Linked DNA regions of Oryctolagus cuniculus. The protein of the gene in region 7 interacts with the protein of the main gene of each other region in a biochemical or structural test. Links are inferred from orthologs where the notes say so. Each region holds a gene or a part of one and is shown on either strand. Other genes may lie near its edges. The genes, in order: LRP6, NFE2L2, YWHAZ, KLF5, RICTOR, SREBF1 and GSK3B.

Region 1 (4,344 bases), on a different chromosome or scaffold from region 7:
TACAGACCTGCCTGGCCTCGACCCCAGCATGTGTTTCCTGGGCGGGCAGTGTCTGAAGTCACTGACCCGGGTTGGGTTCAGGTCCCTGCCTGAGCGGCCTTGGGTAAGTCACCGGACCTCTCAGCTTACTTTCCTTCTGGGTGCAATGAAGACACTAAGCGTCAACACCTGCGCATCCCAGGATGTTTCGAGCCTCAAACCTGATCGTGCACGTGCCGGCACTAGGTGAACTCCAGTGTCTCTGGGGTGTGAGCAAGATCCCGGGAGTGACTGCATTTCCTGGCCCGGCTGCCTTCTGGGAAGGGTGGGTGACAGCTGCACAGAAGGCACCTGACTGTCGGGGTGTTGGGGGGATTTCAAGGGGTGTCTACGCCCCTGCTCCCCAACGGCTCTGTGCACTGGGAGAAGCCAGAGGCTGTGCAAAAGCCGAAGCGCTGGGGGATCTCTTCCTTCTGAGCCTCGACCATCAAAGCGTGCCAATCACACATTATTAAATGCAAACTCAGCTTTGTCCAACTGTCCCTTTTGCAGGCTTAGGTGCCCATGCACTCGTCTTGGAAATTTTACTCCTCCAGTTTACACATTTTTACGTCTTGCCGGCCTTCACTCGGGGAGCAGGTGTCTCTGGGAAGGCAGGAGGAAAACAAGAATTGCACTTCGGCCTTGGCATGTGAACCTACCTCAGCAGATCCACGTTTAAAGCTGGTGTGACCAGCGTTGGTTTTTATTTTCCTTAAAAAAAAAAAAAAGGTGTTCAAACTGATTTCCAACCCCGAAGACCGAGTGCATTACCCCGTGAGGGACTCCGCCGTGGCTCCTGGAGCGTGGACCCGCTCGCCGGCCCCCCGCACCTCGCAGGCCCCGCTGGCGGCCGCCGCACCCCGGGAGCTCCACCTGGCTCGTCCGGCGTCCGCCGCACAAAGACCGGGGCCGGGGGCGGCCCGGCCGAGCCGCAGAAAGTAGTCCCGACCACGCCGGCTCCAATGTTGTTCGACGTCGCCTCACGCCCTCCGCGGGGAGGGCCGAGGCGGCCAGCCCGGGAAAGAATCCCATCGGAATGCGCGGCCCGGCAGCCTTTCCTGGAGCCGCTCGCCTCTGCTCGCCCCACGCATCTCCCGGGGTCTCGCCGCGGAGGCCGAACGCGCGGTTTTCCTCTTCTTTGCCCAAGTGCGCGGGAAGCGGCGCCGCGGGAGGGGGGCTCGGCCGCGCGCAGGGAGACCTCCACGGCGACCCTTGGCGACGGCGGGCGGCCGTATCCCTGCGCCGCTGCGCGAGAGGAAGAGGCTGAATGAGGAGCTGCGCGGGGGAAGTGGGGCGCCGGGGGAGGAGGCGGCGGGATGGGAGCAGACGCTGGCGTCGCGCGAGCCCGGGGCAGAGCGGCGCGGTAGAGAGGGCGGCGGCGGCGGCGGCGCGCGCGGAGCCTTGACGTGCCTCTTTCTTTCTTCTTCTGTCTCGGGGAAGCCGGGGAGCATGATCGCGCAGCTCTGCCGCTGCGGCGGCCGCCCCGGCTCCTCGCCTCCCCCTCATCTGGTCGCCTCTCGCCGGTGAGAGGAGAGAACGCGAGCCGGGAAGATGGGGGCCGTGCTGAGGAGCCTCCTGGCCTGCAGTTTCTGCGTGCTCCTGAGAGGTGGGCAGAGCGCGCGCGGCGCGGGGCTGGGGGGGGGGGCGCCCTGGAAAGTTGGTGGGATTTGGGGGTGGGGGGAGGTGGCCTTGTTTTGTGTGTCTGGGGGGGAGGGGAGCGAGGGAGGAGGAGAGGGGAAGAGGAGCGCCGAGAGGCCTGGTCGTGGGGAAGGAGCGAGAGAAAGGGGCCCGGGCGCAGGGGCTGTGCGCTCCGCCCGGCCACGATCCAGACCCCAGCCCGGCCTTGCAGACCTCGGCGTGGACAAAGCTGCGCGTCCCTCCGGGCTGCCTGTCTCGGGGAAGCGCTGGCCGCCGGCTCTGGCGGAATGACTGAGTGTGCGCCTCCGGCCGCCGGGCGTCCTCAGGGGAAAGGGGCTTTGCTCCGAGTTCGGCTTAAAAAAACAAACAAAAACCAAAAACGTGGGGAGTCCGAGATGCGCCCTGGAAACCCCCACCTTCCCCCGATCTCTCAGGTGAACTTTCTAAGCCCTCTTGGCGATTTTTCCAGGCCTTGGTTGCTACTGATCATTTGGCTTCCGCTTGGGCTGGGACGATCCCGGGCGAGGGCACAGTTGGAAAAGTGACTCCGGGGTTATAGGGCAAGCGTGGCAGCGTAGGGATCACCCGAGCGGCGGCCCGTGCTCCGAGACCGACGTGGCTCTGGGAAGCCCTGGTATTTGCGGAGTTGGCAGCAGCGAGTGGGAAAGTTGTGCTTGCATGCGGAGGCCCCAGTCCTGGGACCTGGATGGTCATTTGCTGCGCACCCCCACCCCACCCCGGGGGTGGGGGTGGGGGTGGGGGATTACTTGGTACTTGGGTAAATAACACAGACTGGGTAATTTACTCCGGGAGTCGCTTCCATTCCGGGGTCCCGGGATGTGTTGCATTGCCCTGCAGTGCTGACACGCTGGCTGTGACTTCTCGTGTGTGAACTGGGTTTGGGCTGGTCCGCAAGTTTTGCACAGCTCTTCTCAAAACTTGTGGAGAGGAGTCCCGGGCTCTTCAGCAGCTCCCAGCGGAGGAATTTAAAGTCCAAAGTGTGGTAGTTGTGGTTTTGTTAAAATTCTGGCTCGTGGTCCTGGTCAGGTCTTCGCAGGTGTGAGGTCTCTGGAGGTTTTCTAGCTACTGATGTAACAGACAAGTTGTGTGAAGCCCTCCCAAACTTACCAGGTACAGCACATGACAGTAATCAACGATCTTGTGTTAGAAATGTGACAGATGCGTCGTTTCTGTGCGCATGTGTGGATGTATTTTTGGGTGACAGGAACTGACCTTTTTGATGTAGAAGGGATATTTTCTTTACTCTTCTGCACCACTATTAGGATTGCGTGTTACATTTATCCTTAACGATTAACACTTAATCCAGACGGTCCATTTCCACAGGTAAACCCCAGAGAATGTAATGCAATTTTATGTTATGTACTTGGGCGTTATAATCAGTATAGTATCTGTACTTTACTGTTACAGTCACTGTTGAAAGTTTCACAGCTGTAACTGTGAGAAACAATCGTATGTGTCATAGGGCTGTGCATATATATATATATTATTTGATAGATAGAGTTAGACAGTGAGAGAGAAAAAGTCTTCCTTCCTTGGTTCACCCCCCTCAAAAGGCCGCTACGCAGATCCGAAGCCAGGAGCCAGGCGCTTCCTCCTGGTCTCCCACGGGGTTCAGGGGCCTAAGCACTTGGGCCGTCCACCACTGCCTTTTCGGGCCACAGCAGAGAGCTGGACTAGAAGCGGAGCAGCCGGGACTAGAACCCAGCACCCATATGGGATGCTGGCGTCGCAGGTGGAGGATTAACCAAGTGAGCCTTGGCACCGGCCCCTGTGCACATATATTTTAAGACAGAAGGCTAATAGAATTAACCAAAGAATGCCAGATGGTTACAGGAGTCTTGGGGAAGTCTAAACCCATAACCTGGGGGTTCTTCTGGTTGCCCAGTTGTATTTCTTGGAGGGGAAGAGTGTGATGTAAATGCTACTAATTTATTTTAACACCAGGTTTGAGCCCAGAGTTGGATGTGTTCATTGGAGTTGAGAGAGGTTGCATTTGGAGAAATGTTTTGAAGTATTATATTGTGTAGCAAGACCTAGAAGAGGTGATAGTTTAAGAAGTGGAGCTCATTTTATGTTGTAGCATCATAATGGTATGAGGTGGTCTTTTCTGTTTACCAGCATTTAGCAGTGTGTGCTTGTTACTTGAACTAAAATTATGTTTGATGTGAAGTGGTCATAATTTAGATTGTCTTCCTTCCTTGATAATGTCATCTACAGATACAAAAATGATATTTAGTCAGCCTTGGACTCCAAGGAGAAAAGTGTGACTAGTTTGTTTCATCAAGGTCATTTTTCCTCACAGAAGAGTTGGAGCTTTACCATTGGGTATGTGATGGATTGTGTAAGAAAGAGCTTGGGAGACTTTTTGTTCTTGTAGCCCTGTTTTGTAAGTAGCTGAAATCCAGGGAATATTATTTCCCAGGCTGTGTCCTGTTCCTACCATTGGATGATGAGGTGATGAGGTGTAGTGGAAACATTTGGGGATATTTTTCAATACCAAAATCTTAGGTTAAAAGCCCAAACTTTACTACTTCATAGCAAACTTCTCTGAGCCCCAGATTCTTTACCTGTAAAATGTGGCTGATGATAGCTACCTGATGAATTTACAGGGTTTTCAGATATATTAAATGAAGTCATGAATAAAAAGTGCTTTGCAGATGTTTT
Region 2 (4,153 bases), on a different chromosome or scaffold from region 7:
AGTAGTATAACTTGAGAACTTGGCACTGAAGTAAATTTGATGTGCTTTCCAATTCTAAACTGCCACACAGTGTATCTGCTAAGCTAAAAATTTTCTTTTTTAACTTCATCTGTAAGACAGAATAAAACTGTACCTATCTCAGGGCTTGGGAAGGAATAAAAGAAATGACGGATTTAGCACATCTCTGATACTTTGCAAGTACCCATTAGACATTAGCAACATCTTATTTCACTCTCAAGAGTTTATGCACTCAAAGCCACATCTCAGCAAACAGCTCCTCCCAGTAAATTTCATCAGATTAAGATTTCCCCAGAAGTCACATCTCAAGATCTGTCAGAAATATCCTTCATCCAGAGATCCTTGTCTTTTAGCTGCTGGTTACACGGAGTTCAACACCACACCCTCCATCACTAACTAGTGTTTATGGCTCATTGCTTCTTACCCACTCACTCATTGGTTTCCTCCCTCGAAGTCAAAGACCATGCCCATAAGCAAGTAGAAGTCTACTCCACAGAAGCCAAAAGGTACCTTTTTCCAGGACACCAACGCCCCCCCCCCCCCAACACACACTCAGGCTTTCACGAATTAGAAGGGGACCCTGTGATCATCTTCTAGTGCTAACCTGAAACCTCCTGGGAGAAGCCTAACAGAATCCCTGTTACCCATTCCAAAACCACAGCCCCTAAGTATTCGTTCAAGAAAAGGAATGAATTCCTGGCATTAAGAACCCAAGGGAAGGGACTCCTTTAAAACTCTTCCCCTGTAAGAATTCTTCGGGTCTGTCACCCTCACACAGTGGCCACAGTCCACCATCCTGTCCCGGTAGAGTCCAGGCTCCCGTCCAGTCTCCTGACAGAGAGGTGGGTCCGTACTTTGCGCGACTGGGATGCTTTCTGCCCACTCATGTCACCTTCTGTACCCCTCTTCCCTGTCCCTCCCCGCCCCCCGCCCCCCACGCAGCACAGGCCCAGCCTGCTCCCTCGCCACCAGCTCCTTCCCTCGGCCGTACTCACCGCTTCTTGGGGATGATGCCCGACTCTTGCACGGCGGGAGTGGCCGTGGGCGCCGCCGTGGCCGCCGCCGCGGCTCTCCGCGCTCTGCACTCATTGGTACTCAGAGCGTCCTGGGGCCGGCCCAGCAGATGGCCCGAGAGAACCCGCAGCCGCCGCCCTGCGCGATCTGGGTCCCGATCCCGGTCAGCTCCAGAGCCCGAGCTCGCGCCCGCGCCGGTCCCGCCCGCTGCAGCCGCCGCCTCCGCCATGGCTTCCGCCTTGTGCTGCCGCCCGGGTCCGCTGGGCGCGGGTGAAAGGTCACTCAGAGCGGCGCCCGGCGCGACCATTCGCTGCGGCGCATCCCGGCAGCCACCGCGGCGACTGGGCGGCGGGTGCCATGCGCCTGGAGCTTCACATTTTCTGCCTCCGCCCACCGCGCCCGCCCGCCCGCCTTGGTCACGCCTCGGCCGGGAGCACCTGCCGAGCAGGTGAGTTTGAGCCGACCCCTTATTGGCCCAACTGGGCTGAGCTGGTCCAAGAGCCAAACCACAAGCGCCCCCGCAGTAGTCCTGGAATCCTGGGAGGTGCCTTCGGGTGTGGCCTGGGCCTCTCGAGGAGCTTTTTAGGGGTAAGCGCTTCGGAGCAGGAGTAGGCGGTGTTACCGGACCTGACTAGAAGACCAGCACCTTCCTTTGCCCAGAGAAATGCTAGTGCTGCGCCTCTGCTCTCCCCCGCGGTGGGGGGTGGGGGTGGGAGTGAAGGTCACTAAAGTAGCTCAAAACTGTCATTACCTCTGACCATCAAAGCAAACGGCCCTTCATTTTCTCATTTCTCATCACCTGTTTCGAATATGGCACTGTGCTTAATGATAGAACTCAAACCAGTAATCTCCATCTTACAGATGAACAGAGACTCACAGACATATCCAGCTCGTCTGAGAACTTGCTAAGTTAATTGCTAAAACTGAGTTGCAGTTTTTCTTTTTCCATTCGTTTCTGGATTCTGACGCGAATAGAGGCCAGGTGGTTCGTTTTTGTTTTTATTGCTACATATAAAATTACTGAACGGCTGGCTGCTCTTGAGACTTCTCAGTTATTTACAAGTTAGCTTAATTTCTTGATAAAATTATTTTCACTTGGTGAAATTAAGGGGGCATCTCCTAAGACTGCCCCACAGCCCTTTCCAGCCAGTGCCTTACTTAAGAATTAGCCTACACAAAACCTGGCGATGCCACTGGCCATTGTGTTGTCTCCACGGGATCAGCACCTTCACGTTATGCTTTCTTAACAAAAGGAAAACTATTGGCAGAGGGCTCCGAAGAACACCAAAACCCCATGACCTATTGTCAGCTGACACCTAGGCTCTTGCCAACATCCACAGTTGAGTTTATACCTTCACCGTGAGCTTCCAAAGAGGCCCACATCTGATAAATCTGTTGGTTAAGCCTAGGCAAGTTATTAGGTGAGAGCCAACTCTTTGTTTTTAAGATATATTGTTTATTTGAAAGGCAGAGTTATAGTGAGGCAGGGAGAAAGGTCCCCTATCCGGCAGGTTCACTCCCCAAATGTCCACAGCAGCCAGAGCTGGGCCAATCTGAAGTCAGGAGCCTGGAGCTTCCTCCGGGTCTTCCATGTGGGTGCAGGGACTAAGGACTTGAGCCATCTTCTGCTGCTTTCCCAGGCATATTAGCAGGGAGCTGTGTCTGAAGTGCAGCAGCTGGGACTCCCACCAGCACCCATTTATGGGATGCTGGCCCAGCAGACCACGGCTTATACCCACTATGCCATAGCGCCGGCCCCAGGCATCTGTTTTTATACAGCCCTCAAGCTAATGTTTTTGAGAGTTGAAAAGTATTGTTTCATTTAAAAAGGAAGAAATAAACAGAACATGCAATATGTGGTCCAAAAAGTCCTAAAATATACATTATCAGAACTTTGCAGATTTCATGGCTCTGAGATTCATATACAAAGAGATACCAAGCCACAATGACAACAACACAAATGTCTAGCCTCAGGGGCCAGCACTGTGGCGTAGCAGGTGAAGCCTCCACTTCCAGTGCCAGCATCACATATGGGTGCCAGTTTATGTCGCGGCTGCTCCTCTTCCAATCCAACCCTCTGCTATGGCCTGGGAAAGCAGTAGAAGATGGCCCAAGTCCTTGGGCCCCTACACCCACATGAGAGACCCAGATGAAGCTCCTGGCTCCCTGGCTTCAGATCAGCCCAACTCTGGCAGTTGTGGCCATTTGGAGAGTGAACCAACAGTGGAAGACCTTTCTCTTTGTCTCACCCTCTTACTGTCTATAACTCTACCTCTCAAATTAATAAAATCTTTTTTAAAAAATGTCTTGCAACAGAGAAGTGGTTAAAAGAATTTTTTTCATATGATAAAGTATTTTTTGCAGCTATTAAAATAATTTAATGGGGCTGGTGCTGTGGCATAGCAGGTAAAGCCTCAACCTGCAATATCGGCATCTCATATGGGCACCAGTTCGAGTCCCAGCTGCTCCACTTCTAGTCCAGCTCCGTGCTAATGTGCCTGGGGAGGCAGCAGCAGATGGCCCAAGTACTTGAGCTCCCACACAACCTAGGGGGACCCAGAAGAAGCTCCTGGCTCCTGGCTTCAGTGAGGCCTAGCCTTGGCCATTGCAGCCATTTGGGGAGTGAACCAGCAGATGAAAAAATCAATCAATCTCTCTCTCTCTCTCTCTCTCTCTCTGCCTTTTCCTCTCTCTCTGTAACTCTGCCTTTCAAATAAGTAAAATCTTTAAATTAAAAGATAATTTAGCACAAAACTAAGAAATACTATGAATTTGTTAAATGCTAAATAGCCATAATCTAGACTGTTGTGACTCTTTGCAGCAACACACTGATACAGATTTTTCAAGGAGTATAAGAAATTTTTCTAAAACAACTGTTTGTTATGTTAAGTACCATATACTGGGGCCAGCTTTTTAGCGTAATGGCTTAAGCTGCTGCCTGCTGTGCTGAAATCTCATCTGGGTGCTGGTTCCAGTCCCAGCTACTCTACTTCTGAACCAGCTCCCTGCTAATGTGCCTGGGAAAGCAATGCAAGATGACAGAAGTCCTTGGACCCCTGCATCCACGTGGGAGACTCAGATAAAGCTCCTGGCTCCTGGCTTCAGCCTGGTTCAGCCCTGG
Region 3 (4,246 bases), on a different chromosome or scaffold from region 7:
AGTAGCTGCTAAATAAAGGTATTGGGCCAAGGGGCTGTGCACCCAAGGAGGGCACCGCAAGAGTCCCTGACAACCACCAGCCTTCCACGGCTGCTGCGTGGTTTTGCAGGTCACCCGAGCACTGGGCAGTCCTCAGCACTAACACGCGTGCACGGTGCAGGGTGCTGGGCGGGCATCTTCCGCTGTGACTGCAGCTCTCCGCACTTCCTTCCGCCGGCTGGGTGGAGCCGGGCCGCGAGACACCTGCAATTTCCGCTCCTCTGCCCCCTCTCCCTGCCGCCGGGCTGGGTCAGCCGGGGCCCTGGGCACTAGGACTTTGCTCAGATCTAGCCTTCGGAGACAAAATGGCTATGACCTTTATGTTCTATAGCCAAGTCTGATTTGGTAGGGGGGAAAAAAAACCCAAACTACCCAACGGGAAAGGCAGCCGTTTCGTGTGCTGGCGTCCACCTAAGCAGCCGGCCTCTCCCGCTCGGGAGCGAGGCTTTCTGAGAGTGACCGCGTCTCCGCCAGGCCGTGCCTGTCGCCCCCGCCTCGGCGCCCACCCATTGTCCTCTCGCCGCTGTCACCGGGCGAGGATCCCAAGCTCCCGATTGGAAAAGCTGCCCGTCACTCAGCCACACTTAGGGGCTGGTCGCTCCGTCCTCTTTTCCGAACCTTAAAAGGTCTAAGGCCTCTTCCCCCGCGCCGACAGGTAAAGCGGCGGCCGTGGCCGCGGCAGGCAGGCGCCGCGCACCCAGGTCCGCCCCGCCCTGGGCAGCCGCGGGCGCACGGCCGGGCGGGGTCCTGCGGGGAGCGCGCCGCACGCGGCCCCGCCCTCGCCCTGCCCCTTCCCCCAAAAGCCGCTCACAATGCCCGGCCGCCCCAGCCGGCCCCGTAATCCAGCCCTCGGACCGCCCTACGGCAGTCACCACCGCGAAGCACGGACCCCGGACCCCGGGGCGGGCCAGGCCTCAGGGCGGGGGCGGGGGGGGTGGGGGCGCGAGCGAAAGGTCCCGGATGTTGCTGAAGCGGAGCCCCTTCTGAAGAGGGAGTGATTGGCGCAGGCGCAGGCCAGGTCGAACGCTGAAGTGGGGGTGGGGACACATTTTCTTCCCGTAGGATTAGCGGAAGGGAGAGCCGGAGGATAGGGGCGGGGGGGGGGGGCGCGGCGTCCGAGAGGAAGACGAGGAAGCGGGGTGGCGGTGGGGAGGGAAGTACAGCAGCTTCCTGCCCAGGCGCACTCGGGGAACGAGTAGACAAGGTGGAAGCCGAGCGCCGGTCGCGGGGCGAGGACGCGCGCTCCTTCGCTCGCCCTCTAGCGCGGGCGGGTAGGGCGCGCGCCGGGGAGCGGCGGTTGCGCTAAGGCCCCCGGAGCTGTGGGCACCAATCAACGGTTGCCATAGCAGCGTTTGACGTCATCGTGCGTGTGGTGCCCCTGCTGCCGGGGCTGGTGATTGGAGGAAACCCCGTGTCTGCGGAGCGGCTGTAGCCTGTGAGCAGCGAGATTCAGGGACAGAGTCTCAGCCTCTCCGCCGCCGCCCAGAGCCCGGTGAGCCTCCGTCCGTCTGTCGGCTCCTACTCCGGACACAGGTAAGGGACCCGGCCGCAGCCGCCTCGCCCCCGGCCGGCCCTCGGAAGGCTTGGGAGCCGACCTCGCCTCCGCGGCCCCATCGGCCCGGCCGTCGGGCGGTAGCGGCGCGGAGCTGAGGCGGAGTCTCCTCAGGCAGACACGGGCGGCGGCTTCTCTTCCGCAGGACTCGGGCGGGCGGCTTGCGGCCGCCTCCGGCTACATGTTTCCGGGCCAGTGCCTCGGCCCCGATCGGCGCCCGCTCCCCTCTCTGGATCCCCCGGGTGTGTGGGGGGGGATGGGAAAGGCGCCCCCGACACGAGATCCCCGGGGATCCCCCGGCCGCCGGCTCCCCACGGCTGCCGAGGCGCGGCCGAGGCGCCCCGGCCGCGTTCCGTCCCCACCCTGGCCCGTGCGTCCCCGCTTCCGCCCGGGAGAATGACTTGGCGGCCGCGGCGGGCATTGCAGTGGCGCAGGTGAGGCCGCCCCCTCCCCGATCCGGTTCCCCGGCTCGCCCCCTCCCCCGCTCCCGGGCGCAGCCTCCGCGCCCCGCGGTGCGATCGCCCTCCCCCACCCGGGGCGCGGCGCGGCCGGGAGGGGCCGGGGCCGCGGGGACCGGGCCGCCGCGCTCGGCGCTGCCCCACGTCGGGCAGGGCGAGGCCGCCGAGGGCCAGCCGGCGTGGGGAGGGGCCGGCCCGGGACCGGCGGCGGCGGCGGCGGGAGGAAGGACTTGAATTTTCCCGGTTGGGATGGGGGAGGGGACTGGTTCTTTTCTACTTGTGGTGGGGCGGGGGTGGCGCGGGGGAGCTCCGGGCCCAGGTCGGGTAGGGGAGGTGGGGGAGACGGCGCTCGGCTGCTCTCGCTCTCCGGCCCCCCCCCCCCCCCCCCCGGGCTGGAACCAGGGGCCCTGATCCTGCTTTGCGGGCCCCGAGCGTAACAGCCGGTGGTGGCCTCGCCGGGCTGGGTGTGGCTCTCCGCCCCCTCCCCCACCTGCTGCAGCTGTCGGGTCCTTGGACTCTGGATGGGCATCGGTGGCGGGGAAGACGCGGGGTGGGAGAGCGGGGTGTGTCCGCGGCCGAGCTGGTAGTGGTTCCGCTTCTGCGGGCGGTGCTGGCGTCTCGGTCCCCGGGTCGGGCGCCCCCCTCCACTTGGGCGGGGGCGCGGGCTGCTCCGCCCTCCTGCTCTGGGCGGGGGGTTAACACTCGGCGGTAGGTTGGGCTCCTTGACACAGATCCGCCATGACAAAGAGGGAGAGTCGGCGACTTGTGCGAAGGCACCGGCTTGGGCGGGGCCTAGGAGGAGGGGTGGTTGCGGATTGCGCGCACGGAGGCTTTGCACTTTAAAGTCACGGTCTGCGGGTTTGCGTTGCACCCTCCCCGACGCCTGACGCCGCGGAAGGGTTAAATGGGTGCGGCGAGTCATCTCCATATAGAGGCGAGGCCTTGGAGCACTAGTTACTCCGAGAAACCTAATCCACTTCCCCTTGTCCCGGAGGGGTTGTAGAGGAAAACCTTTGTATTGGTTTTAAGCCATTTTTCTTTAGAAGCAATATTAAGCAGAAAATGTTTGGCGATTTTATGGGAAGGGTTATTTTTGAAGAACCGAGAAGAAATGTTCGATGATAAATGTTAACTATTTTGCACATTGAGATGGCCCTCCTCGCATACGCTCTGGCCAGTTTCCTTTTGAGTTTTTAAGCAGTATGGTGGGGTTTCCCTGGGAAGATAAAGAATGAGATATTGGGAAGTCAGTTCCCCTGGGAGATGACAGTGGCCCTTCCGTCCCCCGTTTTAATCTAATAGTACATTTCATTTCAGGCTCTGTGTGTGCTTTTAAATCCTTTGTTCTGTGGTATCACAGTACGGTGTAGTACCTTTCTCTGCTGTTGAGCACCGTCTGAAAGGCTATCTTATAAGATAAATGCAGTGGAGGTAACCTGAAAAGTACGGGGAACCTTAAATGAGGGAAGGAGAGCTAGGGGAAAGGGCAGCTTGAGTGATAACATCTCATTAAATTGTGAGTACTAGAAGCGGTGCAGTAATTCTATTTTGAAACTGGAACGGGGACATTGGAAACGCAGATGCTTCCAATGTGATGAATTTTACTGCTCTCGGATGGAATTGAAATGAAAGGGACCCTTGGGCCACTTTGTGAAGCATGTATGCACATAAGAAGGTATAAAGGAGGCCTTAGGGTCAGTTAGAGAGTGATCCTTGGTGATGGCTTTATATTCAGAATATTTTAAGAATGAGCAATTTGTGTGTTCCAGAAATTGTCATGCTGTGATCAGCTGGCAAATGTTGCTATATTGGGTGGGAGTGACACCAACTAAATTTAATCATCCCTGATCAGAGTAAGTATTAGGAAAGAAAAAAGACATGGACTGTGGTTCTGGAGATAGGGATGACGGTAGTGGCACTGTTCTTTGTTTGCCTTGTTTTCATGAAGGAGGAGAAGCTGTTCTAATTTTGGGTCTCATGATAGAGATTTTTGGTCAAGTGAGATAAGGGGTAATTTTAAAAGGCAGCCTTTTGACCAAATGTGCAAAACTGGTGTTCCTTGCTGTGAATTTCCCTCTCCATTGTTGTTGTGAGTTTTTTTTTCCCTGTCGTGACCATCCTTTTGTGAGGCTGCATTTGAATTCCTCCAGTGAACAGTCTTTCACAGACACTAGGTTTGAAGTGTTGATATAACTTA
Region 4 (4,348 bases), on a different chromosome or scaffold from region 7:
GGAAATGGCTTTTCTTTAAAAGCGGTTTCTCAAAAAGTCTTGTAACCTACCACCATTGTCGCCGATATTACTCTGATTTTAATAAGTAGTGTTTATCACTGGGATATCAAGCAATTCTAACATGCACACAAAATGTCTGCAACCATGTTCCTCTCAGGACTCTATCTCAGCACTGACCTTTGTTCAAAGGCTTTTACTTTTTAATGTAGCAGTTAGAGATAACTACTTCATTTATCAAAACTCAATTTCCATAGTAACATCTAGCCTGGGGAGATTCAAGTCCTCACACTAATCCAACAACCCATTCAAAGGAACTGTTGAATACTTTGGTTTCCATAGCAATGATGGAATAATACATTTTGCTAGGTCATTGCTTTTATTAGCAAACTTATTCTTTGAACTTTAGGTAAGGCTGCATTTATTGAAGGGAAAACAGTCACTTTATATAAGTTCTTTGCTTTAGGGCTGTTCTTTTAAGAAAATTACAAGGAGTAACCATCTATATATTAAAAAATATTTTGGGTATTTGGACGCGTTTCATGAAGTATGCCACCTAGTTTCACCTTAAAATGCATTTTAAAATTAAGTCTCTGAAAAGTGACTATCGTGGATTTAACAAAACAAGCAGACACTTTTAAAATGAAAGGGGCTATAGTTAAAAGTACATTTTAAACAAAGATGAAATCTCTCAAATAAATATACCCAATTTGTAGAATCCAATTTGTAGAATAATTTTTAAAATATTACCCCATTTCTAACCACTTGACTTTAATACTCGGCAATTTCAGCCCTACCTTTCAGCAAGTACAGAAAATACGTGAAACAGGTATTTCACACTAAACGTGAAATCAGAGATAACAGACACCGCTCAGCAGCCATAGCGCACATGCCAGGTGGAAAGGTTTTTGGTGTTCACAGTGGCTCTGTGGAAGCAAAATGATTTGCTACAAAGGAAGAAAATTAATTTCATTTTCCCCCCCTCAAGACTGAACCAGCAGTGCCATTAAAAGTTTTAAAGTCCATTAGTAAACATCGTTGTTTAGATTTTTCAGTAATTAATCCTATGTGAGGTGACAGGCAAGGCGTTAGTGAGGGAACATCAGCCTTCCTGGAACCAGACTTTTTCATGGAACTGAATTTTGAGCCAAGCCAGTACTGAAAAGGTAGGCCATTAAAAAATAAAAGTTGACAGAAGAAAGAAGAGATCAAACACGTGTTGGCTTTTAAAAGGATGAATACCACTTACACTATTTACACAACTCCCAGTATTAACAAGAAAATTACATACCAGTGTGAGTCCTCAGGTGAGCTTTTAAATGAGAAGACTTTGTATAAACTTTTGTGCAGCCTAAAATGAAGGAGAAGAACAGCTTGTCATTTCGCAGAGCCTTTTGAAACCTTTACATCTGATGATTCAGTCTTTAAAATCTGACTTTAAAGAAGAAATCTCTAGTGCTAGATGAGATATTTGAAGTTTCAGTTTTAAAAGTCTTTGCGTGCTCCCCCATTATCTTATTAAAGGCATAAAGTGATCGGTTTCATCTATCGCCTTAGTAGGAAAGAACACACAAAATCGGGCCAAACTACAAATAGAACGTTTGTGTTTATATTCCAGTAGGTAGGTTATACTAGCAACACACAGTTCAGCAACTAACAGCTACTATAGTATGTTTTTTAAAAAATTTCAATGGCTCTAGAACTACAATGCTAAGCCATTATCTAAGATGACTACAATTTTCTGTACTCCGACATTTCTTGTTTTTTCATTTAGCACGTCATGCCATATCATGTACCATAGTCAATAAATTATGCCCTGTATTAAACATAAACTAGCTTACGCCAGCAACTTGTAAATATACTCATTACTGTCATCAATTTATATTTTCAGCTGCATCCCTCATTCAAGAATGAGCATATGCTATCAGAAGCTACCATAAATCTACCCTGGACCGTCTCGTAGCTGTTATCAGCTAGCTGTCCACAGCGCCCGTTTCATTTCTACACAATATTTCACCCCCCCCAATATTTTTCCAGGCACTTAATCTATAATAAAAAACTGCAATTCATTAGATTATCTTAAAGTAAATGTAAACTCTGTAATGTGTGTGAAACTCAAATGTACTGCTGAAGAGAAAAAAGTTCAAGATAACTTTTCTCCAGAGTATTCTAGACATTTTTTAAATATATAAAAATAAGCAATAGACTACTAACTTGTTTCATACCACAGTAAAGCACAAAAACAGGGTATGAAATGAACAACGTAGGTGTTACTGTCAAGGTTCCTATATAAATGTAAGGTCTGAGTTTGGAAGAGACACAACTGCACACCTGTACAGACACACAAACACTATTGATTGTCGCTCCACCCCAGTGTAGATGACATACCAGGGTAATCGCAGTAGTGGATGCGGCGTTTCTCCAGGTCGGGGTTACTCCTTCTATTGTATCTGACGGGTTGGATGTTTTGCGAATTGACTGGCAGGGTGGCAGGTAAATTTGGATTGTGAATTGCCAGCTTGGAAGCAATGGTAGCAGCATAGGATGGCGGTGGGGTTAAATTCTGGAGCATCTCTGCTTGTCTATCAGGACTTCCAGGCTCTGAGCTCGGTGGTGATGGGGGAAAGTAAGTGGCCTGTTGTGGCAGAAACTGACTTGGCATTGTGTATGTGCAAGGGGGCATGCCCTGGAACTGTTTCATTGCAGTCTGTGGAACGGCAGAGGTGTGTGTGTTCAGGCCTGCCATGGCGGCTGACATAGAAACATTGAGAGTGTCCATCACTGCTGTCTGGTTTGTAGAACTGGGCATATCTAGATCCGGTGTGTTCAGCAGCTGGTACAGGTGGCCCTGCTGGGGAGGGACAGAAAGATGAAGATCTGGTGTAGGAAGTTCTTGTTTGATGAAGATATTGTTCACCTCTGGAGCTGCGGCCTGGTGGGAGCTGAAAATACTGGTGAACTCGGGGAGGGCCTGGGTCGGGGCCGGAGGAGGGGCGGTTGTTTCACTCTGGTGGCTGAAAATGGTAACAGGCTCTGTCTTGATGTGTGTTACGCACGGTCTCTGGGACTTGTAGAGGCCAGTTCTCAGGTGAGTGATGTCAGGGAGGAAGACGTTCATGTTGATACTGTAAGGCAGCCCTTCACTGTCAGTGAAGAACTGGTCTACCACCGAGGCACTGTCTCGTCTATACTTTTTATGTTCTGGAATTATTGGAACTGGAGGCAGCTGAGGTGTCAGATACTTTTCCATTTCACATCTTGTCTAAAAAAGAAGAGACACAAACACGCATAATCCACCTGATTCAAACGTGCTCTTTTTAAAAAACCTCTTACACCCTCCAATCCCGACATAAAGTACTAGGACAAACTCCTAAGTGTTGCTTATAAATGGACCAGGTTTATTTTGTCAATTGTGTAATAACTGGTTCACCAAAACCTTATGAAACTCTAACATGCATTTGATAAAAATCGCTCCCCTTTATCAGTCCCAGACAAAAAAAGTGAAAAAAAAAAGGCAAATCAAGAAAAAAAAGGAAGCAAACAGAAATCATATTCCTCTGTGATGCAATAGTAGGACAAACAGGATTCCCTGCCCCATTACACAGTCAAGTGTGCAATTCAAGTACGAGGGCAGTAATGAAATATTGCCAAACTACCTCAATTCTAGTTAAGCTTAACATTCTTACACTCGCACAACTCTACAAATCTTGTTTGCAGTTTTTTTTTTTTTTTTTTGCTTGGCAAGGTATTTCTGAAATACCTCATCTAAAACATTCTTCAGCTAGTTCAGTGCCTCTTCTTGTTTACGATTTAATGGAAACCTAAATACAATGTTTTGGCAAAACACAGTATCCACTGAAACAAAACAGTTTCACATTTAGCATTTGATCTAAATGTTGATTTTAATCAGTAGATTCGGTAATTGGTTAATATGATAATGAAATGTTCCTATTCATATCCCTATCTCAAACAGATCTTTAATTACCTAGGGGGAAATCACTCCCTTGGTAGCCGGGTAGGTGGGGAGAGGCTGCTGATGGGCTAGCACAGTCATCAGCCAAACATTTATCATGTCCTCCCCAGTGGGCCGGCGCTACATTCCCCCTCTCTCTGCAAAAAGCTCAGTCATGCCTTATCCTCTAGGTATCTCCTAGGCAGGAGAGTGACAAACTCAAATAACCACATAGTTTTCAAGGGGTGATTTTTTTTAAGAACATGATCCAGCTAGTAACAAGCTGCCCTCAGTCTTTTCACAGCTATCTTTTCTCCTAGAATAACATAAGCCCCCCCCCCCCCCAATTTTTAACATGGAACAGGAAATTCTCAAAGAAACACACAACTAGATGGCAGG
Region 5 (4,286 bases), on a different chromosome or scaffold from region 7:
TGAAACACATAGATGGTGGGTAGCATGTAAGAAAGCCGTGCTCCTACTTTACTTTTCTTACAATGCACCTTTACAAGTGACATATATATATATATGAATGAAATACACATGCACTATAGGACATTTAAAACATCCAGAGCATACGTAATTCCACAACTGAGGGAGGAAAACCAACCAGCATTCCGATGTCTATCTTTTCAGACTTCTATCTGTGGACACATCCATTTTGTGATGCATCCTTTTAATGTGTGTGTATTTCAGAAGTTTCCAAACCAGGAAATTTGTAACCTCTTGCTTGACTCAATAATGTGAACCATTGTTTCTTATTAACCTACTAGATTCGTATCGTTTTTTGAAACGGCTGCTGCACTTCACACACCTCTCAAGTTTGGTCATTGAAGTGGTCCCACTTGTTCACTATTATTAGCAACAGCAAAAAAAAAAAAAAAAAAAAAAACCAAAAAACTCCAACATTTCTTTTTAGGGTAGAGGTTGTATTTCCTGGCAGCTGAGAAAGAGAAGGGGTTAAGGGTATAGAGCCCCACGTTCAGTCTCTAGGGAGTTAGAAGACGAGTCGAGGACCAAGAGCGAGAGAGCTCATCCTCTTTAGAGTCCATCTGGTCCCAGAGGAAGTTGCTGCATCAGGGGTCAGATGTGTCTATTAGGGTATCAAAGAACACTCGCCCGAATTAAAACTCCTGTCCTTCCCAACTGCTCGATTTGTGTACAGAAATACGCCTTCACAACCGCCCCATCTGCCACCGTTCCGGGAGTTGCAGACACAAGCCGGGACTCCGCTCTCGGCCCCCGCAGAGAGGAAACCGCGTCCCGGGGCCTGCGCGGGGCGCGCGGGGCGCACTCCGCTCCCGGGCCGGGGCCCTCCCGCCACCTCGGCCAGGTGGGCTCCAACTCCACTACCCCGCCGCCCCGACTCTGCCCACCCCCCAGAGCTGAGCGTGGCACGGCTAGGAACAGAACTCAGCGACGCGTTAACTTGGTCAGGGAAAAGCGAGTCTCTTCTCGCAGCGCGGGATTTACGGGAGTCTACACTGCGCGGGGCGCCGCTCCGCACGCTCGTCTGAGCGCGGCCGCGGATTCCAGGGCTAAGCCGGCGGCAGCACGCGCTCCGAGCAGGTGGCCGCTCGGCCGCAGCCGCCCTCCTCTGCCCCTGCGCCCCTCGCTCGGCTCGGACGCCTGGTGTCCGCGGCGGCCGGAGGAGAAGCATCCTCCACGCCGCCAACTCCATCAATGGGACTCCCCGCGTGGGAAACGTCCCCTCCCGGAGGACTTGCCCTCCGACGGCCCAGCCGCTCGCTCGCCTCGCCTCCCTGGGCCGGGGCGGGCGGACGCCACGAGCTCCTCCTCCCGGACCCCGGGTGGACGCGGCGCTCCCTCCGCGGCCGGAGCGCAGCCGGCACCACCCGCCGCCGAGGGGGCGGGGGCGATGCCGCGGGGGGCGGGCGCGGCGCGCGGGGAGGGGAAGGGGTTCTCGCGCGATTGGGCGAGGTTTCCGGTGTTGTGACTGAAACCCGTCAATATGGCGGCGATCGGCCGCGGCCGCTCTCTGAAGAACCTCCGAATACGAGGTAAGCGCGCTGCAGCCCTCACTCCTCACCTCTCGGCGCCCGCCACCCCTGGCACTTGCCTTCCCCTGGCCCTGGGTCGGGGGAGCGGAGCGGGGGCGCTGGCCGGAGCCTGGGCAGCCGCCGCTGGCCTGCGAGCGAATCCTAATTGGGGCTGTGTGTCTGTTTCGCGCAGGGCGGAATGACAGCGGCGAGGAGAACGTCCCGCTGGATCTGACCCGAGGTAACGCGGGGCGCCGAGAGCGCCGGCGAGGGCGCGCTGCTGGGGAGGAGCTGGGGCCGGGGCGGGCCTCGCACGGGACCCGCGACGGGGACGGGGGGCGCAGCCCGAGCCCCGCCTGCCGGCCCGCGGGAGCCCCGCCAGGCCGCCTCGCTGAACCCATCCCCCTTCCCGGTGCCCGCTTCACTCTGCCTGAACCCTTCTCTGGGGGCCTCGGGCTGCCGCGGGGGGGGGGGGCGGCTGGGGAGCCGCGAGCGGAACTGGCGGAGCCGGCGACCCCTGGGCTCGGTGGCCCCCGGGGGCAGCGGCTTCCACCCGTGCCGAAGCTCGTGCCGCCGGCTCCCGGGGCCGGCCGGAGGGAGGTGGAGGTTGTTATTTGGGTTGCAGGAGGATGTTTGAGGGAAGAGCGACCACATCCTGCCCTCCCCGTCTCCCGGCGCAGAAGCCGGACCTGCTGGCTTTTTTGCTCACTGCGTGCCTGCCTTTTTTTTTTTTTTTTTCTCTTTGCCCCGCGTCCTGTGGGGACCGCCAGCATCGGTAGCTCGGTGCTGAGCCCTGGAGCCGGTCAGGACTGCTGCGTGGCTGGTTTCCGCCGTGTTTTCCTTCTGTTTCTGTTTCCCGGGCCGCTGGGACCGTGCTTCGCCGAAGACCGCCCCCTCGCCCTGCTGCAGGTTCATTGTTTACCTCCTGCAGTGGCGACGGGTTTGTTTACACCTTGGGAACTGAGTGACCCTGGCTTCTCTTTTGAAGGACCGGCTCCGGCTCCACTCCGTATTCTCCATAGCAGGGACGGGACCGTAGTGGGGTTTTATTCCACCTTGTCTTGCCGAAGATTGCGTGATTGGGTACTTGCGACGAGGTTCTTTTCTGCTGCACGATAAACAGGATTTGGTCTGCTGGTTCGCGCCAAGTCCCGTTGCGTACCAGCTGTAGCTTGTGGTGTAACGTGGTTCAGCTGCATAGCATCAGTTGCTTGTTGAGCTCTGTAAAGCGCTGTAGGAAGTTGAAGTCGTCGTAAACAGTCGATACGCGGTCGATGTGCTACTTAACCCTATGTTCTTGACGTAACAATCGCTCTCCACGTATTTATGGTGGACGTGGGCTTGGTGTTGAGGATCATCGCTGAATTAAAGCGTAGTATGATTTGTTCTGTATGTCCTGATGGGAGGTAGCCTTTGTAAACTGGAAGGCCGGTTTTCATGGAGCTACGAGAGTGTATTTTTGTAACCGTGTTTTATTCTGCAACTTCAAGGACGGAGTTTTCGTGAACTTTGGTAGGCAAGAGAGTTTCAAAAATACAATATAGTAGGGCTTGAGTACTAAAAATGGCACTGATTACGATCACCAGTGCACTGCTTTGGAGCAGTTTTTCAGCAGCTTAGAGGTTAGAAAGTAGTGAAGAAACATGTCGTCAGCCTTTCGGCTTTTGTGCAGTAGTTTGAAAACTCTATATGACAGACATAGGGAAAAAATTTGTATGAAATGTTTGCTGTTTTCAAGGAAACCTGTGAACAAAAATAAGGGTCATTCTTAACAGGCCTGAAATTTAGCATTTTGAGTTAAATAACAGATGTAGTTTATTAGAGATTTGTGTACACACACACACACACAAGCATGTGTGTTTTTAGAGGGAGGTGAAAAGTACATACTAGGTAAACTTGAGGTCAATTTGTGCATTAAAAACCTACTTGGGCATGCTAGAAATAAATTTTAGTTGTACCTTAAATTTTGTTGAATTTATTGAATTTGTTGAGCTATATTTGTATTTCATTGTTTTTCTGATATCAAAAATTTTGGTTGTATAAAAGCTCAGATATAAATTTGGATACCTTGGGTTTACTCTAGTTTTACTCAGGTACACATGTAGCTCTGTATGTTTATTATTTAAAATGCTATATTCTCTAATAATTTATTTTATAAATAACTGTTCATAAGCATTTCCAGGATTATATAAAAATAATACAGAGACTACTGTTTGTTTGCCCTGACAAAATGTATTTCAGTTTGGAATACATGTACACAGCCAGTTGAAACCAATTTCACAAGTGATTTACAACTATGAGTGAGAGGTTACATGAGAACTCTATTCCTGAATCATAAGGAAGTTTATAATAAAGAAAATCTGAGTTAGATTCATTTTATAGCAACACTGTTTAAAGAAACTATTATTCTGACAGACGTTTCATTGTTCAAAAAAGGCTTGTGGATCTAACTTGAAGAAAGTTCATGAGGAATTAAACTTTAGTAATGATTTGAGAACTGTGAGGCAGTCTGGGTTACAGCTGAAGGGCAGCTGTTTGTGGATTGAATTACAGTATGTAAAAAAGATAAAGTTCAGGCAACCAAATAACTTTTTGATTAATGTCAAGGCGCCGTTTTCTCTTACTCTAATTATTTTCATGTAATCTTTGAGAGGTTTATTGTATAGATATCTAACAAAGTTCTTTATAAAATAGAAGTTAAAATCATTGTAACCCCTAAGG
Region 6 (4,080 bases), on a different chromosome or scaffold from region 7:
AGCAGGTGTCCCGAGTGATGGCTGTAACCACTGTGCCCGCCAAGCTCCCAGCCACGAGGGAACACGCATGTCATGTCCCTGCGCTGCCCCCTCCCCAGCCAGCCCAGCTCGTCCCTGGGGCGCCTCTCCACCCTCACTTCTCTCAGGGGAACTGGCTTTCCCACTGGCTCTTCCAGACCGTGTCCAACCTGCCCAGGGCCAAGTCTGGTGGCAGCCCCCATAGAGGCTTCTGTAGAAATCCTCTCCCCAGCAAATCTCCCCTCCCAGAGCCCAGACCTTAGGAACCAAAGTGAGGATCCCAGCACAGGCTGGCCTCGGGGGTGGGAGGGGGCCCACTGCGGCACAGGGTAGGAGAACAGAACCACTGTGGTGTCTTTAGCAGGTGGAAGTGCGGGGGAAGCGGCTGGCCGCTGGCTGCGACATGGAACAAAGCAGATCCTCATTGTTGGGAACCGGATGGATGCTACTGTAATTCACCAAAAAAAAAAAAAATGCAGACAGCCTGGGGGGTGGGGGAGGAAAGGGCAGAAACCATACAGTTACAAGGAGTCCAAGTGGGCAGCTGATGATGGGCCCGCTACTTGGTACACATACTGGAAACTTGCATAGGGCGCTACTGGAAACTGTTGCATAGCTCGCTTAGAATGTATCTATTTCCCAGTGTGTAAAGTTGGTACCTTAATACACTTGTGGGTGTTTTGTTAAAGATTTATTTCTCTCATTGGAAAGGCAGAGTTATAAAGAGAGAGAGAGAGACAGAGAGAGAATCTTTCATCCTTTTAACAGTTGGGGCTGGGTCAGCCTGAAGCCAGGAGCTTCTTCTGGGTCTCCCATGTGGGTACAGGGGCCCAAGGACTTGGGCCATCTTCTACTGCTTTCCCAGGTGCATTAACAGGGGCCTGGATTGGAAGTGGAGCAGCCAGGACTCAAACCGGCACCCCCATGGGATGCCAGTATTGTAGGCGGTGGCTTTATGGGCTATGCCACAACTCTCTGGTCCCTGTTTTTGAAAAAGTGGATGAAAGGGTCAGTATTACAACTGGGTAGGTTAAGCCACCACCTGTGGCACCAGCATCCGAGATAAGCACTTGGTTGGAGTCCCGGCTGCTCCACTTCTGATCCAGCTCCCTGCTGTGGCCTGGGAAAGCAGCGGAAGATGGCCCAAGTGCTTGGGCCCCTGCACCCACGTGGGAGACCTGGATGGACTTTCCCACTTGGCTGTTGTAGTCAGAACCAGCAGATGGAAGACCTCTCTAACTCTAACTCTCTCTCTGACTCTAACTCTAACTCACTCTAACTCTTTGCCTTTCAAAGAAATAAATCCATCTTAAAAAAAAAAAAAAAAGTGGATTAAGCTTCAGGGCTTATTTCTGGTGGGTAGATTTAAGAAACATTTTCTTTCTTTTGTTAATCAACACTTCCTACTTTTTCTACAATGGAAAAAAAAGAAACCCAATGTGTTGCATAACCAGGAAAAAGAACAGAAAGGGTGAGTAAAGACAGAGAGAGAGACCCTCCCCCATAGTGGGCAGACCTCAGCCACTGCCCACCGCCCCCGCCTGGTCCTGCAGGGCTCCAGCCTCCCTCGCTGTCGCCGATGAGCACTCAAGCCCCGTCTGACCCCCCAACGACGCCCCCCACGTGGCTGCCCAAGCCCCGGGAGTCAGGGAGAAGGCCAGGCACAGATCTGAGTCAACTGTCCCAGCTCCCTCGTGAAGGGGGCACTTACGGGGGGAGGAAAGGGGGGACTGAGACTCGGTGGGCGGGCGAGGGGGCTCCAGCAGGATGGCAAAGGGTCCAGCTTCAACTCTGACCCTCCGAGCCCACGGGGATCCCTGTAAGTCGCAGCCATAGGCTGCGCAGGGCAGCGGCCACCAGGGTGCCAGCGTCCATGCAGGTTGCTCCTTTGCCCTTAGCCTTCGCGTCTTCCCACGGCAGGTGCATGGGGGAACTTCCTGGGACTTGGGGTTCGCCGGGCCTGCCACGTGGAAGCACCTGCAGCCCGGAGCTGCTCCTTAGGGACAGGGCGCCCCGCCTGGGCACTGCCCGGGGCCTCTACCCTCGCCCCGCTGGCCCCGGGGCTGGCCCTCAAGTCTGAGCTGTCTGCGAACCCTCCGCGTCTACGACGTGGTGGTGGGGTGGAGTGGGGTGGGCTTGGATGGTGGGGGCCTGGCCTTCGGTGGTGGCTTTACGACGCGTGCGCAGAACCCAGACCCTCTCCGGCGGCGGCGGCGGCGGCTGGCAAAGAGGCCGCACCGTGCGCACGCGCAGAGGCGCCTGCGCCCGGCTGAACTCTCAGGCCGGAGGGAAATGACCGTGAGTAACCCCGCGCGGACGTCACGGCGGGGGCGGGGCCTCGGCGACGCCCGGGTCCCAAGCTCCAGCCGCGGCCGCCAACGGGGCTGGGGAACGGGGCCGGCCCCCGCGGCGCAGGGCCCGGGACGCGTCCAGGCGCACGTGTCCTCCCCGCCCCGCCAGCGCCGAGCTGCCCCGGGACCCCCGGCGCGACCCCGCCCAGGCGGCCCGCAGCCCCGGGAAGCCCCCGCGTGTCCCCCACGCCGGCCGGGGAGACAAAGGCCGGGGCGCCTCCTGCGAGTCCCCCACCCTCCGCACCCACCGCCCCGGCGCACCTTCGATGTCCGTCAGCAGCGCCGCGTCCAGCTCGCACGGCTCGGCCAGCGCCTGCTCCAAGGCCGCCTCGCTGAAGGGCGGCTCGTCCATGGTGCCGGGCCCGCCGCCGCCGCCGCCGCCCCCGCTCCGCGCGTTCGAGTCCCGCGCCGGCCAAGTCGCTGGCGGCCCGGCGCAAAGTTCCTCGGAAACTGGGTTTCCCCGGGCAGCGACTCGGACTCCGCAGGGCGGGCGCGGCGGGGGCGGGGCCTGGCGGGAGGTCCCGCCCCCCTGGGTAGCCGGCTCCGCCCCCACGCCACGCCCCTCCGGCGGAACCGTGGAGCCCCCGCCGGGTCTCCGCCGGCCGCAGGGGCACAGAGCCTGTGGCCAGCCGCAGCGAGCAAGGGGGCCGAGTGGAAGACCCCACCAGGATGGGTTCCAACGCTGGGGTCTCTAAACCGGGGGTCGGGGGCGCGACCCGCTCAGTTCCCTCTGTCTGGCTGTGTGGGGCTCCAAGTGACAGCCGTCACTCTGCCTCGGTTTCCCCCATCTGCAGACGGACCTGGGGCCCGGGCTCGGCCTGTGGAGTCTGCCTAGCTCCTGCGGCGGGGAAGATAGTGTCTCATCCGGTCTTTATCTCTGGTTTCCTCCCAGACTGAGCTATGGGTAGGAAGCAAGACCCCAGACTAAACAGTGACCCGCCCGAAGCTGCAAACCCCAGAGCCAGGCCAGGGGTCTCAATGCGGGAGATCGACATCACTCAGAAAGAGGCCCCCTTGGTGGAGGGCAGCCGAGGAGACTCAGCAGGGGTCTGGACCTTCCGCCCACCCCCACCCCCACCCTCTCCCCAGGCTCCGCCAGTCAGGGCAAGTCCAAGACCGCCCCCGGCTGACTCCAGTTATATAGTCTGTCCGCTCACGTCCACACCCGTGCAGGATGCAGCCTGCAAGGGGGTGGGGGTGCCCTGCAGGGAGAAGCCAGCTGCAGACACCCGGGACCTGGGGCTCAACCTGCACACAGATAACCCACACCAGGGTCTCTAAACTACAGCGCCTGCACAGGCATCCTGCTCAGGGACCCCACCCAGGGCTTGCTCTCTCCAGATGCTGGCTGGGGTCTCCCAGGCTCGCCACCCCCCCCCCCGCCCCCCAGGAGGCCTCTGGCATCCGGTGACTTTCCCTGAAAATTCAAACAAGCCCTTCTTCCCAGGGGACAGGGATGGGATTAGGGGGTGCCAGGCGACGCCCCCAAGAACACTTTTCTTCCAAGTCGGGCGGCTGAACTGGGCACCGGGTACCGACAGAGGCAGGTACGGAATCCCCAGGGGCCATGGTCTTGGGGATCCGCCTCGCCATTACCGAAATGGGTTCAGCATAGCTCCAGATAACAGGGGCCGGTTAAAGCAAGGTCACTGCAAAGGCCCACGGGACCTGAGCCTGGTTGAAGCCCCCCCGCCCCGTGCTGCACAGTTCA
Region 7 (4,145 bases):
TCTACCACCCAAGTGGAAGACTCAGACTGAGTTCCAGCTCCTGCCTTAGGCCTGGTCCAGCCCTGGCTGTTGTGACCATTTGTGGAGTGAAGCAGCAGATGAGAAGATCTGTCTCTCTGCCTTTCCAATAAAATTAAAATAAATAAAGTTTATAAAAAAAAAAAACTGTTCAGAGCTCTCATGAATGTCAAACTTTTTCAGACCCCTTGCCCTCTGTCAGCTATCCTTCCAATATTTCTCAAATTTTACCTGTTATTTTCCTACTTAGGCTTTTATAATTCAGATTTACCAGCTTATTTATTGCCTCTCCTACAAAACTCACCATCTCTGTGCCTGGAGTCCTTTCACCTAGAATCTTTCATGCTTCTCCACCAATTCAAGACACAGCCTTCTTTAACACCTGTCTTAAAAGCACACCTTCTCTACAGGAAGCCTTCTCCCTCCAATGCATGTCTCACCCCTTTATTCTTTGTCCCTCTGAACAAAGGATTCAATTTGTATTTTGCCTTGCAGTCGTAATGCCATTGTTTTCATTGTTTTTCCCATAAATTGCCTCTACTACTAAGTGACCAGCTTTTTTTGAAGCCAAGGACTATAATTTCATATGTATCTCTTTTGAACATGGGTCCTGAAAACACCAGCACCTAACAAATGCCTAATGACTCCCCTTTCTTCTAAATATCCCTAAAGCTAGGCTTATCAAAAATGCATATTCAGCAATAAATTCCAACTTTTTAAATATTAAGTTGAAGGACATGATAACAGAAAATCAAACATTTTAACCTACATACTTTACAAAAATCACACCATTCTTGGTCAACATGTATGCCATCAAGAATTAAGGAGTCATCTTCAAAGAAAATCCTAGAAACAAAATATAAAATCCCAGAATTTAGCATTATACACTAGCATTATAGATCTCTGAAATACATCTAATAATTATATTCCTAAAACTGACTTTCAGTGTTTTTTAATTATTACCAAGATGTAAAACATACAATCACTGCAGTATCACAAGAGGCTCTTAATTAGCTATTGTAATATTTGCTTCATCATAGCTAAAAATTACCCCCAGAATAAAAAACTTCTTTCAAATGACCCCATGAAGGGCTTAGAAAGCATGACCCTTCTCTAAAAAGATGCATAATCAGCTTCCCTCTTTACATACTCTGCATTCTCTACTAGCTAGTCACTGAAAAAAAAATTAACTCAAAAATAATCTCCCATTCAGCTATTACCTTGGACTATCCTGTTTCAGGCAAGTTCCAAAAGCCAAAGTGATTGGAATCTTGAGTTCAATTAAAAGTAAACATTTTATATTGCTTAAGGATGTAATCAAGTCCACATAACAGAATCTACTGTTTAAGGCTCTTCAGTTCTCTTAGCTCCTCTAGGCAACAAAATAGTTTGCCCTCTTCATGCCCCTTTCTCAGAGAATAAGGAAACAATATAAACATTTTTTTTTGTCAAAATCTGGAAGTATATTTAAATAACCTGCCATTAATTGCCACACAAACCCCTTCACAAACAGAGCTCTGTGGGATCACTGGATACTTAGTATAACAAACACCTCAAGAAAACAGACTTTGTGAAAGTACAGTCTGGTAACAACCCTGAGACCACATCCCAGACAGCCCTACCATTTCCAGAAGGACAACCTTCTGCAAAAACTATGATGGAAAGGACTAAATCTATGTTCCTCTAACTAAATTCAATCTTATCTACAAGAAAACTGATGCAAGGATATTTTAAGTATTCCTAAAAAGGAATCCTCTGTACTCTAGAATATTTTAACAAGTAACAAATGCAACAGCACGTCAAAATTGAACTTAAATGACAATGAGTCAGTGACAATTAACATTTAACTTAGTATCTGGCATTATGACAACATACGCCTCAATCAAAACTTGGACCTCCTTCCAAGTTACCTTTTGATTAAACAAATTATATGGTGGCAGATTGGTAATGCCAAAACAGGAAGGTTAAGAGATAACAGATTAAACCACTTATCCAATTCAAGACAATGTATTTGGAGATGCTACTGCTGCTGGATATTTATCTGTTCCCATCAGCCCCTTGTAAAGGGAGGGAGCGATGATCACCTCCACACATGAATGCTGGTTACTGAGCAAGTTCATCCCCAGGTTAAGAACAAATACTTTGTATAGTTACACCAGCACGAAGAGAAACGTTAGGAGACTGGGACATTTCATGTCTCCATGAAGTACACAAAGCTGTGATAACCCGAGACTTGAGCTAACCAGAATTTCCTCCCTCGTTCCAAAAGACAAACACTCTGCAAATGCACATAATGGTTTATGAGTCGTTTAGTCCTCTTTATTCAAAAGGGTCGGCAAGCAAACGCTTCCATCACAATTTCCAAGTGGAAACACCCAAGCACTGGATAAAGGCGACCATCAGTAGCAAGGAAAGCACAAGAAACGTTTCAAATCGAATCATCGAAATAAAAATCGTACTCTCTGAACTCAAGGTTAATGAGACCGAGGGAGGGGGTTATGGGAGGAGAAAAGAGGGAGCTGCCTCATCCTCGACTGAAGACAGGTCTTGCTCTTTTCCATTAGCTCTGGTGAGTGTTCCATCAGGTCTAGTATGTTAAGGTTCTAGGACTTCGAGGTTGCTTATTTTAGGGGTGAGACGGAGAAGGGGTGTAAAATAAAATCAATACTCACTGCTAACTTTCATGCTGCCAAAAGCTGAAGGCTGCTGCACTGGCTTGCAGCTCTCCGCAAAGGAGGTGGTTCTGGGCCGCCCTGACATGATCACTCTCTTCCCGAATCACCTTTTCCTTCCTTCCTCCTTTTCTTCCTTTTGTTTTATATTGGGGTGTTAGGTTAATGATAAATGCAGCATTAAGTTCTCCCACAAGAAAGGAAAAAAAAAGACTTCGTCCTCTTGGCTTTTCACTTCTTTTGTATAGCTATATTAAAAAAAAAAAAAAAAAAAAAAAAAACACGAGCGATGTATTCTCCTTCAAGACGGATCCGTACGGATATTTAACATATAGATGATTTGGGGCTGGGGGAGGGGAAAAAAAAAACACAATTCTTTCCCCTCCCTTTCCTGGGAGGGGGGACTCCTTAAAAAAAATCACGTGAAATGGGGACAAATACTTGATTGAAAATAAGTACTTTGGATTTTATATTTTCCTCGGGGATTTTTTTCCGAGTCAATGAAGAAGGGAAGCGGCGGAAGGATCACGAGTCTCACGCTTGAAGAGAAGGGGGGATGGGAAGGAGGGAGGGAGAGGGAGGGGGCGGCTCGGAGATGCGACGGGAAACGCTGCGGCTCCGGCAGCGGCGGGATCCGGCGGGGGCCCGGCGTCCTGGAGGGCGGCGGCGTCGCGAGTCAGTCAGAGGCGGGCGGCGGCGGCGGCTCCTCTCCTCATTGCGCCAGGAGCAGCTGCAGGCGGCGGCTGGATCCAGCGGCCATGGCGGCGGCGGTGGCGGAGGCAGCTCCCTTCAGACCCCAGGCAGCGGCTCCTCGACTGCTCCCCATACGCCGGGGACATGGGAACCCGGCAACCGCTTCCGTCTCCCTCGGGGCCCCCTCCCCCGTCCAAAGCACCAGCGCGGCCGCCCTCACGCCCCGCGCCTCAGCTCCGTGTCCGCTGAGGAAGTGTCCGTGCTGTGCCCCCAGTCCGGAGCCCTGTCAGCGGCTGCGGGGCCGGCTCCTCCTCGCTTCCTTCCTTCCTTTGTCACTCGGCCCGGGCGGCGGCGGCGGCAGCGGCAGCGGCAGCACAAACCCGCATTCGCCCGGGTCGGGGGCTGCTCTGTGTGAGGAGCTCCGTCTGCGCAGCCGCCTAGCGCCTTCCCCCCTCCCCCTCCCTCTCCCCGCCTCCTACTCGTCCTCCGCCTCCTTCCTCCCCCACCCAGCCTTATACCGCCCCGCGCCCCGCCGCCCGCGTAACAGGCGTCTGGGAATCGCCGGCCGAGCCCAACGCCCGCCCTCTTCGGCGGCGGAGCCGAACCCCCAGCGAAGCCAATCACGGGCGTCGTTTCTTTACGGCTCCTCCCGGAAAAAGCCGATCGGCCTGAAGAGCCAATTAGAATGGGCCCCCGGGAAGCCTCGCCTAGAGAGCGGAAAATGCCGAAGGCATCCGAACGGAAAGAAGGTGGATTCGGCTT

What was found.
Region 1: of the proteins of GSK3B (region 7) and LRP6, one has a biochemical effect on the other in vitro, tested with the Homo sapiens proteins (2 studies listed by BioGRID, with this or other methods). The link is inferred for Oryctolagus cuniculus from reciprocal best matches to the Homo sapiens genes GSK3B and LRP6.
Region 2: of the proteins of GSK3B (region 7) and NFE2L2, one has a biochemical effect on the other in vitro, tested with the Homo sapiens proteins (2 studies listed by BioGRID). The link is inferred for Oryctolagus cuniculus from reciprocal best matches to the Homo sapiens genes GSK3B and NFE2L2.
Region 3: the proteins of GSK3B (region 7) and YWHAZ form a complex in vitro, tested with the Homo sapiens proteins (2 studies listed by BioGRID). The link is inferred for Oryctolagus cuniculus from reciprocal best matches to the Homo sapiens genes GSK3B and YWHAZ.
Region 4: of the proteins of GSK3B (region 7) and KLF5, one has a biochemical effect on the other in vitro, tested with the Homo sapiens proteins (2 studies listed by BioGRID). The link is inferred for Oryctolagus cuniculus from reciprocal best matches to the Homo sapiens genes GSK3B and KLF5.
Region 5: of the proteins of GSK3B (region 7) and RICTOR, one has a biochemical effect on the other in vitro, tested with the Homo sapiens proteins (2 studies listed by BioGRID). The link is inferred for Oryctolagus cuniculus from reciprocal best matches to the Homo sapiens genes GSK3B and RICTOR.
Region 6: the proteins of GSK3B (region 7) and SREBF1 form a complex in vitro, tested with the Homo sapiens proteins (2 studies listed by BioGRID, with this or other methods). The link is inferred for Oryctolagus cuniculus from reciprocal best matches to the Homo sapiens genes GSK3B and SREBF1.

What each region holds. Positions count from the first base shown.
Region 1 is NC_091440.1:109,922,193-109,926,536, reverse strand, and holds the start of LRP6 (low-density lipoprotein receptor-related protein 6), read left to right. Parts: upstream 1-1,487; 5' UTR 1,488-1,572; coding exon 1,573-1,627; intron 1,628-4,344. UniProt on the Homo sapiens protein: Component of the Wnt-Fzd-LRP5-LRP6 complex that triggers beta-catenin signaling through inducing aggregation of receptor-ligand complexes into ribosome-sized signalosomes.
Region 2 is NC_091434.1:63,717,696-63,721,848, forward strand, and holds the start of NFE2L2 (nuclear factor erythroid 2-related factor 2), read left to right. Parts: upstream 1-1,339; 5' UTR 1,340-1,389; coding exon 1,390-1,480; intron 1,481-4,153. Other genes in the region: AGPS (alkyldihydroxyacetonephosphate synthase, peroxisomal), read right to left, coding at 1,014-1,339.
Region 3 is NC_091437.1:126,360,551-126,364,796, reverse strand, and holds the start of YWHAZ (14-3-3 protein zeta/delta), read left to right. Parts: upstream 1-1,431; 5' UTR 1,432-1,572; intron 1,573-2,246; exon of another isoform or gene 2,247-2,292; intron 2,293-4,246.
Region 4 is NC_091440.1:39,678,621-39,682,968, forward strand, and holds the start of KLF5 (Krueppel-like factor 5), read right to left. Parts: upstream 2,807-4,348; coding exon 2,386-2,806; intron 1,349-2,385; coding exon 1,289-1,348; intron 1-1,288. UniProt on the Homo sapiens protein: Transcription factor that binds to GC box promoter elements. Activates the transcription of these genes.
Region 5 is NC_091445.1:64,475,292-64,479,577, reverse strand, and holds the start of RICTOR (rapamycin-insensitive companion of mTOR), read left to right. Parts: upstream 1-1,478; 5' UTR 1,479-1,537; coding exon 1,538-1,586; intron 1,587-1,758; coding exon 1,759-1,806; intron 1,807-2,940; exon of another isoform or gene 2,941-3,077; intron 3,078-4,286. UniProt on the Homo sapiens protein: Component of the mechanistic target of rapamycin complex 2 (mTORC2), which transduces signals from growth factors to pathways involved in proliferation, cytoskeletal organization, lipogenesis and anabolic output.
Region 6 is NC_091448.1:62,549,872-62,553,951, forward strand, and holds the start of SREBF1 (sterol regulatory element-binding protein 1), read right to left. Parts: upstream 2,840-4,080; 5' UTR 2,722-2,839; coding exon 2,614-2,721; intron 1-2,613.
Region 7 is NC_091435.1:76,547,992-76,552,136, forward strand, and holds the start of GSK3B (glycogen synthase kinase-3 beta), read right to left. Parts: upstream 2,830-4,145; 5' UTR 2,779-2,829; coding exon 2,691-2,778; intron 1-2,690. Other genes in the region: transcription factor SOX-4, read left to right, coding at 3,191-4,145. UniProt on the Homo sapiens protein: Constitutively active protein kinase that acts as a negative regulator in the hormonal control of glucose homeostasis, Wnt signaling and regulation of transcription factors and microtubules, by phosphorylating and inactivating glycogen synthase (GYS1 or GYS2), EIF2B, CTNNB1/beta-catenin, APC, AXIN1, DPYSL2/CRMP2, JUN, NFATC1/NFATC, MAPT/TAU and MACF1.